2 linked regions of the Mus musculus genome follow. The protein of the gene in region 1 purifies or fractionates together with the protein of each later gene. This does not show direct contact. Links are inferred from orthologs where the notes say so. Each region holds a gene or a part of one and is shown in the gene's direction. Other genes may lie near its edges. The genes, in order: Knstrn and Prpf19.

What was found.
Region 2: the proteins of Knstrn (region 1) and Prpf19 purify together in Homo sapiens (affinity purification with mass spectrometry; 4 studies listed by BioGRID and IntAct, counting the BioPlex papers as one, with this or other methods). This does not show direct contact. The link is inferred for Mus musculus from reciprocal best matches to the Homo sapiens genes KNSTRN and PRPF19.

The regions. Positions count from the first base shown.
Region 1 is NC_000068.7:118,816,785-118,820,593, forward strand, and holds part of Knstrn (small kinetochore-associated protein), read left to right. Parts: intron 1-1,079; coding exon 1,080-1,206; intron 1,207-2,050; coding exon 2,051-2,098; intron 2,099-3,809. UniProt on the Homo sapiens protein: Essential component of the mitotic spindle required for faithful chromosome segregation and progression into anaphase.
Region 2 is NC_000085.6:10,893,670-10,898,104, forward strand, and holds the start of Prpf19 (pre-mRNA-processing factor 19), read left to right. Parts: upstream 1-1,561; 5' UTR 1,562-1,780; coding exon 1,781-1,799; intron 1,800-3,833; coding exon 3,834-3,983; intron 3,984-4,147; coding exon 4,148-4,224; intron 4,225-4,435. UniProt on the Homo sapiens protein: Ubiquitin-protein ligase which is a core component of several complexes mainly involved pre-mRNA splicing and DNA repair. Required for pre-mRNA splicing as component of the spliceosome.

The DNA.
Region 1 (3,809 bases):
GTCAGGATAGGGGGTGGGAAGGGTTACCTGGTCTGGCCCAGTCAGGAGATCAGCAAGAGGGCCAAGTAGGAATCTCTTAACAAGGGGTCAATAAAGGACAAGAACTGGAAGGGCAAGAGCCTGGCGTAGGGAAGAGGAGAGGAAAGAGTTTATATGTCCAGGGCAGTGAAACAGACCAGAGTTGACAAGTTCCTTTTATTCTGCCTGTGGCTGATTCCTGAAGTCTGGACATATACCTAGCCACCGGAACATGAAGATGTCTCAAAGTGGTTGTGAGGACATTTTGGTGAAAGTGGGTAACACTTAAGAGGAAACAGCTAGAAGCTGTCTGGGGAGAAAGGATTTGGGAGCCTTGAGGGGCAGTTCCAGCTGGACTTTTCCTTCTGCCTCCATTGTCACGTAACTGTAGCCTGTCAAGCTTGGGGTCTCATCAGGCACTCGGAGCGATGAATTTTGTGTGTTGGTGCATGCCTTGTTGCGAGATATTTGCTCACATTGTGACCCCTGAGAGTGTGACCTGGAAAAACCTGTTTCTTGTGGTGTGGCTCAGCCCTAGCACACACATTTAACCCAAGAGCTTTCTGTAAAGAAGAGTTAAGTGAAGTCAGTGACAGGGGAAGAAGCAAAGCAGCCACCAGTTGACAGGGAGTGAAGTTAAGAAAAGGCAGGGAAGAGAGAGGAGGGTCTGCGAGTCAAGGGGATTGAAGACCGTGTGGAGAAGGAGAAGGCGCTTTTCCCTCTGGGTCACCAGCTGGGCGCTTTCTCTGCCTCTCTGAGCTAGCAGGCTTTCACCACAGCGACTGGCTCCTGAGTCCCCATAGGTAAATCAAACATTGGTGATTTTGTTTCATAAACAATACACCTACAAACCCCAGCATTTGGAGGCAGAGTCAAGAACTGTCTCTCCATTTTTTGAAGCAAGTCGGTGTAGAGACTTTCTTTGGAAACAACCTCTATTCCTATCTTAGATTGGACAGTATGAAAATGAGGGCTTATGGTAGCTCAGAGTGGGGCTCTGTGTGGCACAGCAAGAAGGCTGGTGGGTCGTGCTGTGGCTTCACTCCTATTTTCCCTTTCAGATACACAAACTCGAGCTACTTCTAAACTACCTGTTAAATCCAAAGAAGCGGATTTGCTTAGACATCTTCATCCAGGAGGGCCAGAGCCTGATGTTACAAAAGTCACCAAATCGAGACGAGAGAATGGGTGAGAGTAGATCGCTGGCATCTGGTTATAGCAGCTTGCCAGAGAGCCCGAGAGCTTGCCCTGTGTGTTCAAGGGCCTGGGTGGACTGTCCAGCAGACAGGTGGAGGGACAGGGAGAGATACTGATTTTTCTAGAAATTGCTGAGCACCAGAAATGTTTTAATAGAGACTGAAGAGATGGTTTAGCAGTTCTGACTTGGAGAGGACCCTGGTTCTGTTCCTAGCACCTGCATGGTAATTGAAATCCATCTCTAACCTAGCTCCAAGAGATCCAGTGTCCTCTTCTGACCTCTTTTGGGTCCAGGCACACACACATTTGATGTGAGATATATATGTGTGTGTGTATATATATATCACACATAGGAAAAACACCCATCCACATAAAATAATCTGATCAAACAGTCATAGCCTAAAAGGTGAGGCCGACTGTAAGCCTTATTCATAGGCCTGAGCCTGAGCGGGGTCCAGCCTCAGGACCTAGCATGTACATGTGACTCTAGGCAGTGACCCTCTTCCAGGTGAATGTGGTTGACATGAGATAGTCATAATATCCAAAGCAAGCTCAGGTCTGTCGGTTGTTGGGGTGAAACCAGCACGCATGCTCAGCTCTCAGCCTTCGCTAGTTACTGGGGTGTACTCTTTGGTTTTTTTCCTCAGAAACTCAACTATCTTAAGTTAGGTGTGATAGCATGCACCTGCACTCCCAGAACTGAAGAGGCTGAGGCAGGAGGATTGGAATTTCCAACCCTGTCCCAAAACAGCAAAGAAGCCAAGCCCTTATTTGCACCTTATTTGTAGCACCAACTACTGTGGTTCTCTGATGAGCTTTGATTCTGCTTCCATAGGCAGGTGAAAGCGGCAGAGACTGCCAGCAGGAGGAACCTCAGAAACAGGTGAGCATGGGGTCGATTGAGGGTGGAGGCTCACAATTGTGGGTGTAGATGACAGTCACATTAGGCTTGTGTGATGTGTCTAAGTCTGGGTACCATACCCTGTACCTGAGAGGACTTTCGGGATTAAGACTGCACCACCATCAGGGGAAGGATCAGTGGTACCATCATCTTGAGCAGTAGTCTTAGCAGGAAGCCCAAAAGCTCTTTTTAAGACATGATTTTTGAAATGTTTACGTGTGTGTGTGTGTGTGTGTGTGTGTGTGTGTGTGTGTAAGTGCAGGTGCCTGGAGGGAATCAGACCTCCACTGAAGCTGGAATCAGAGGCAGTTATGAGCTGCCTGATGTGAGTGCTAGGAACTGAACTGGGGTCCTCTAGAAAAGCAGTGCGTGCTCTTAACCACTGAGCCATCTCAGCAGCCCCCATAACCGGAAAAGGCTTCTTTGTAGAGGTGTTGGGTTATGCCTGTAATAGAAGTCCTTAGGAGACTGAGGCAGGATTCGCACAAGTTCAGGGCCATCCTAGGTCAACCAGGGATGTAGGATGTGCTGGCTATGGCTAGTCTTACATCACTACAAGCCAGAGTCACTGGAGAAGAGGGACCCTCAACTCGGAAAATGCCTCCATAAGATTAGGCTATAGACAAGCCTGTAAGGGATTTTCTTAGTTAAAGATTAATGAGGGAGGGCCCAGCCCTTTGTGGGTGAGACCATCCCAGGACTGGTAGTCATGGGTTCTATAAGAAAGCAGGCAGAGCAAGCTATGTGTAGAAAGTCAGTAAGCAGCGTCCTTCCATGGCCTCTTCATCAGCTCCTGCCTGCAGATTCCTGTCCCGAGTGAGTTCCTGTCCTGACTTCCTTCAATGTTGAACAGTGTCTTAGGGTTTCATTGCTGTGAAGAGACACCATGACAAAGGCAACTCTTATAGGGACATCATTTAATTGGGGCTGGCTTACAGGTTCAGAGGCCTAGTCTATTTATCATCAAGGTGGGAGCTTGGCAGTGTCTAGGCAAGCATGGCACTGGAGGAGCTGAAGGCAAACAGAAGACTGGCTTCCAGGCAGCCAGGCAGGTCTCAAAGCCCACTCCTACAGTGACACACTTCCTCTAATAAGGACACAGTTCCTAATAGTGCCATTCCCTGGACCAAGCATATTTAAACCACCTTCCACTCCCTGGCCCCCCATAGGCTTGTTTTTCTGGAAACTGCCATATGAGAGGGTGTTTTTGCTGAGAACAGACACATGGTGCTTTTCTGGAAGCTGCCTGGGAAAAAGGCATGGGATGTTTTGCTAGAACAGATGCTTGAGAGAACACGTGATGTTTGGGAAGGGTATAAAGATAACCCAACAGACAGTTGGCTGATGCTGAGTGGTATTGGTTCGCCTTGCCACTCTCTGCTGATCGTAGAGAAAAATGTACCAAAGAACTTCTGGTGGTGTTCCAGAGGGTTCTTGCTTCTGGGGACTCATGGGCCAGTTCTCAGAGCCTTGCAGGTTTTTTTTCTGGATCAAACTGCCACTGCTGGTTCATGAGTGGTGTTTGCAAGTGAGTTGAGCGACTGCTGCTGATTCATATAAACTGAGCTGCTGATATCCTGACAACCAAGATTGGATTCATCCAAAGAACTCTTTCTAAACAGGTCCACATCCTCCTTTGCCCTGTTAACCTTTCCTTTCCATTAGCTCTGTTGAGTGGTGGGCCAGAAAGGAG
Region 2 (4,435 bases), on another chromosome or scaffold:
CTAGGAGACAAAGAGGGAAGTGCAGAGATCTGACTGGTTGATAGGTCAGATTTCTCCAGTGTACTTTTCATAAGGACCAAGGCAGGCAGAACATAGTTACCATGCTTGCTGTGATTGGCAGGGCTAGGACATGTGGCCATTGCCTCTGTCTGTCCTGATTTCTTAGAAGGTTAGAAAGCTAGTTTTAATTTGCTACCATAGAACTCCATTATGACTGATACCATTTTAGTTTATTTACTTACTCTCAATGTGCCACCAGGCCTAGCCTATTTATTTATTTTACTGTGTGTGCTTGTGTGTGTGTGTGTGTGGGGGGGGTGTCTTGGGGACTGAACTCGGGTATCAGGCTTGGTAGCCGATCTGGTCCGGTCTTTAGTAGAGAAAACAAAAGAAGTTGGCAGGAGGCAGGGAACTGTTATTATAACAAAACACCTGAGGTAGGCTACTTTAAAGAAAAGAGGGTTCTCCTTGCTCAAATTTCTAGAAGCACAAGGTTCAAAGAGAATGACGTGGGCAATGTCTAGGGCCTCTTCCTTGCTGGTGTCACATTGCCATGGAAGTCAACTGGTTCATTTGTGCCTGTTCACTCTTTCTTTCCCTATATGAACTCCACCAGGATTCTTGTAATGTCTTATTCTAAAGATCCCACCTCTACATTCCACAGTTAAGCTAGATAGTAATGACACACACCTTTGATTTCAGCACTCAAAAGGCAGAGACAGGAAGATCTTTGAGTTTGAGGCCAGCCTTATCTGCAGACTGAGTTCCAGGACAGCCAGGGCTACACACACACACACACACACACACACACACACACACACACAAACCCAGTCTCAAAAAAACAAAAACAAAACCACAGAAAAACACCATAGTCGTGCTAACTTTCCACTCTTACTGTTTGGTTGCTTATTGAGACATGTTCTCTCTACACAGCTCTGACTGCCCTGGATTGGAGCTCACTATATAACCAGGTTGGACTTGTACTCCGAGATCTGCCTGCCTCTGAAGCCCAGTGCCTGTGTTTAAAGACTTCTGCAAACACACCCATCAAATTTCCATTCTTTTAAACGTACACATAAGACGCTGGGAACTAAATTCCCTTGAGTTTACAAAACAGACTATATTTAAAACGTAGCAGGCAACGAAGTCATTGGCTTGCCCATATTTCCAGAGCAAGAATTTAGGCAGTGTTAGTTTCTTTACTCATTTGTGCTTTATTTACAGGGTCACATTGTTTCTCAAAAGCCGGCCAAGGAACACAGGTCTCCGAATCATGCCTACAGACTCTCTAAGGCAGACTCTAGGAATCTGCACTTTTACAAGCTCCTGAAAAATCTGTCTTGCACACGACCATTTCAAAGACTAGTGTTCCCTAGGTGACAGCAGCTCCATCTAAAAAAAAAAAAAAAAAAAAGAGCCTTGGCGGTCCCCGCAGCCTCATGGGAAATGTAGTTTCTTCTCTCCTTCCCGCCTCAGGCCTCTTGGAGCGCTCGCCGGAAGAAGCCGAGCCAATGCGGAAACAGCCGAGTGTTTCGAGGCGGGCCTTTTCCTGCTCGGTTGCATGCTGGGAAAGGGCAGTTTCCGTTAGCTGCAGAAGGCTGAGGCGCGCCACCGGCCACCTCCCCACGTGAAGCAGTTGTGCGAGCATCGCCACGCTGGGCAGCTGTCTACCCGCGTCCGAGCGCTCCGGAAGCGGCGGGGGACCGGAAGTGGCCCGCGGAGGCTGCAGAGAACCGGGAACCCTCTGTGAGGCGACTGGCAGCAGCGCTACGACGGCGCCATGTCCCTGATCTGCTCGAGTGAGTGCTGGCTGCGGCGGGAGGCGGGAGCGTGTGTGGCCCCTGTGGCTCGGGCCCTGGAGCTCCCGGCCCTGCGTGCAGGGTGCATTTGCGCAGGGCTGCGCAATTCACGTAGCTGGGAAGAATGACTGTCTCAGGGGTCTTTTGAAACCGGCGTCGTTTTACAGAGCTGAGACAGGCCTGAGCAGAAGTGGGGGGGAGGAGCTGGTGCAGTGAAAAACAGCTCTTGGTGTCAAAAAACCCGAGGACATGCCCAGGATCCGCCTCCAATTGTGATCTGGGCTCTAGCGGGTTTGGGCCTCAGTTTCCCCATCTGCAAAATTGAAAGCATTGCAGTGGGCATTGCTTGGGAAACCTCGCTTAGGAATCGGACTTTCCGATTTGCAGAGATCACGCAGTGACTTCGAGACAGGGCTGGAAGCCAGGTGTCTGGCTTCTAGCCTCGCGCAGTATGACTAATGAAAACAGCGAATGTTTAGAAAACCTGTATTGATTTACGATGCATTTCCAAACGGTGATCTCATTTTATGCTTACAAGAATTGTCTGAAGGGAAATAAAGATCCGTGAGTTACAGAGGGTGTCGGAAGTCTTGAAGAATGGGTTTACCTAGGGGTGTGCGAGGAAGCTAAGCAGTGGAGCTTGGCTCTTTGAGCCTGGATCCATGGTTTTCCCGTGCACTATGCTGTCCTGTCTTGGGGTGTTGTATTACGGCATTGCGGGTGTTCTCCCATATTGTTTACCACGTTACTAGATTCCTCGCCTTCTCTATTTCCCTCTCAGAACGTTGCCATTAGTTCAAAGAAGGAAAAGGAGGAGGGAAATGACAAGCAGAAAAGGAAATCTCATACTAGAGAAATTGCAGTTTGCAAAGTATTTACAAACGATTTGTTTTCTTTCCATCTTTGAGACCACACTCTTACGTGCCCAGGGCTATCCTTCCTCTGGTAGAAGAGGGAAAGCTCCCAGAAAGCTTTAGTCGTCGAGTAGTGTGATAAACCAACAGAATAGGACAGGAAGGCCGTGTACAAGATACGGGTTTTAAATATGGCACAAATCCATACTTAATAACACATGCATGGGAGTCCTGCAAAAATAGGTGATTCTAAGAGAAGCCACGGAGAAGAATAGGAGCTTGAACCTTAGGATGGTGACTCACAACCTATGGGAGGCTGAATAGAATTGTGTGGTGAATAAGAGCTGTTTTGTGATGTGACAAGTCGCTATCTTAGAGCAGCTTTCAGAAGAGTCTGATGTGGAGGTAGCTTCCACTTGTCTGCTAAAGTGAACCAGTTGACCCTGTTTAGGGGAAGGTAGAGAAACAAGTCTGAGAAGGTCAGAGAGACCTTGGTTTTAAGCCTGCTTTTGGGGCCTTCATTTCTTTATTTTTTATTTTGGTAGTTAAGCATGCTCAAGGCTTCGTACTTTGGAATATTCTTTTCTGGGCCCCGGGACTTTTGCACTCATTTACCCTGTTATGATGTTTATCAAGTGTCAGCTTAGTATCTGCATTGTCCTGGAGGTCAGTGACAGCTGTAACGGCCATCTTCAAGGGTACACAGACTATTCTGTCAAGCGCTTAGAATAGAATCTTGCTTGGCATGTAGTAGCAGAGCTCTTTGTTTGCTTGTTTTCATTTTATCAGTACTTGTCACGTTGCTTCGGAATTTCTCCTGTTGATCTGTCTAGGGCTCCCACTGGATGACAGGTTTGAGTTGTGCTCTGTGTGCTTCTCTGTCCATCTCGGTTCAAAAATGAGATGGGCAGGACTTACTGACCACTCTGTACAGTACTGGCACATAGGATCTGGGCAGTTATTATTTATTGACTTTTATTATCAGCAGACCAGAGAATTTAGCTAAGTAGTTGGCGAGCATTGTAGGACCAAGTACGGGCAGGCTTGCTGTCACAGACCTTGCTTCCTGATAGCTGACTAGGAGGACATGGTCTTGTTGGGGCTGACACAATGAAGAATCTCCTCTGCCCACGTCTCCTTTTCTCCTGTGCTCACTCTCACTACCTGTCTTTCTCTATAGTCTCCAATGAAGTGCCAGAGCACCCGTGCGTGTCCCCTGTCTCTAATCATGTGTATGAGCGGCGACTCATTGAGAAGTACATTGCAGAGAATGGCACAGATCCTATCAACAACCAGCCTCTCTCAGAGGAGCAGCTCATCGACATCAAAGGTGCCTGCCCAGTAGCCTCAAGTCCAAGGCCAGCTCAGCTCAGCCTTCACCGGTGGGGGGTGGAGCCAATCTGGTGGAGAAGATGGTGGCTGGGGGTGGGGGTGGTGGGGGAGAGTTCCCTGGGTTCTAGTTCTTCATACCTACTTTGCTGCCTCTCTTGGCAGTTGCTCACCCAATCCGACCCAAGCCTCCCTCCGCCACCAGCATCCCAGCCATTCTGAAAGCCTTGCAGGATGAGTGGGTGAGTTCTGTGAAAAGAATGCACCTCTGGGCTAGGACCTGGGGATTGAAAAGATGGGGCCTCCCTCCTCCCTCCTCTCCCCTCCCCTCCCCTCTCTCTTCTGTGTCTGGGTCTTTGGCTTACATGTATGACCGTGTCTGGGTCTTTGGCTTACACGTATGACCGTGTCTGGGTCTTTGGCTTACACGTATGACCGTGCATTACTTATGTG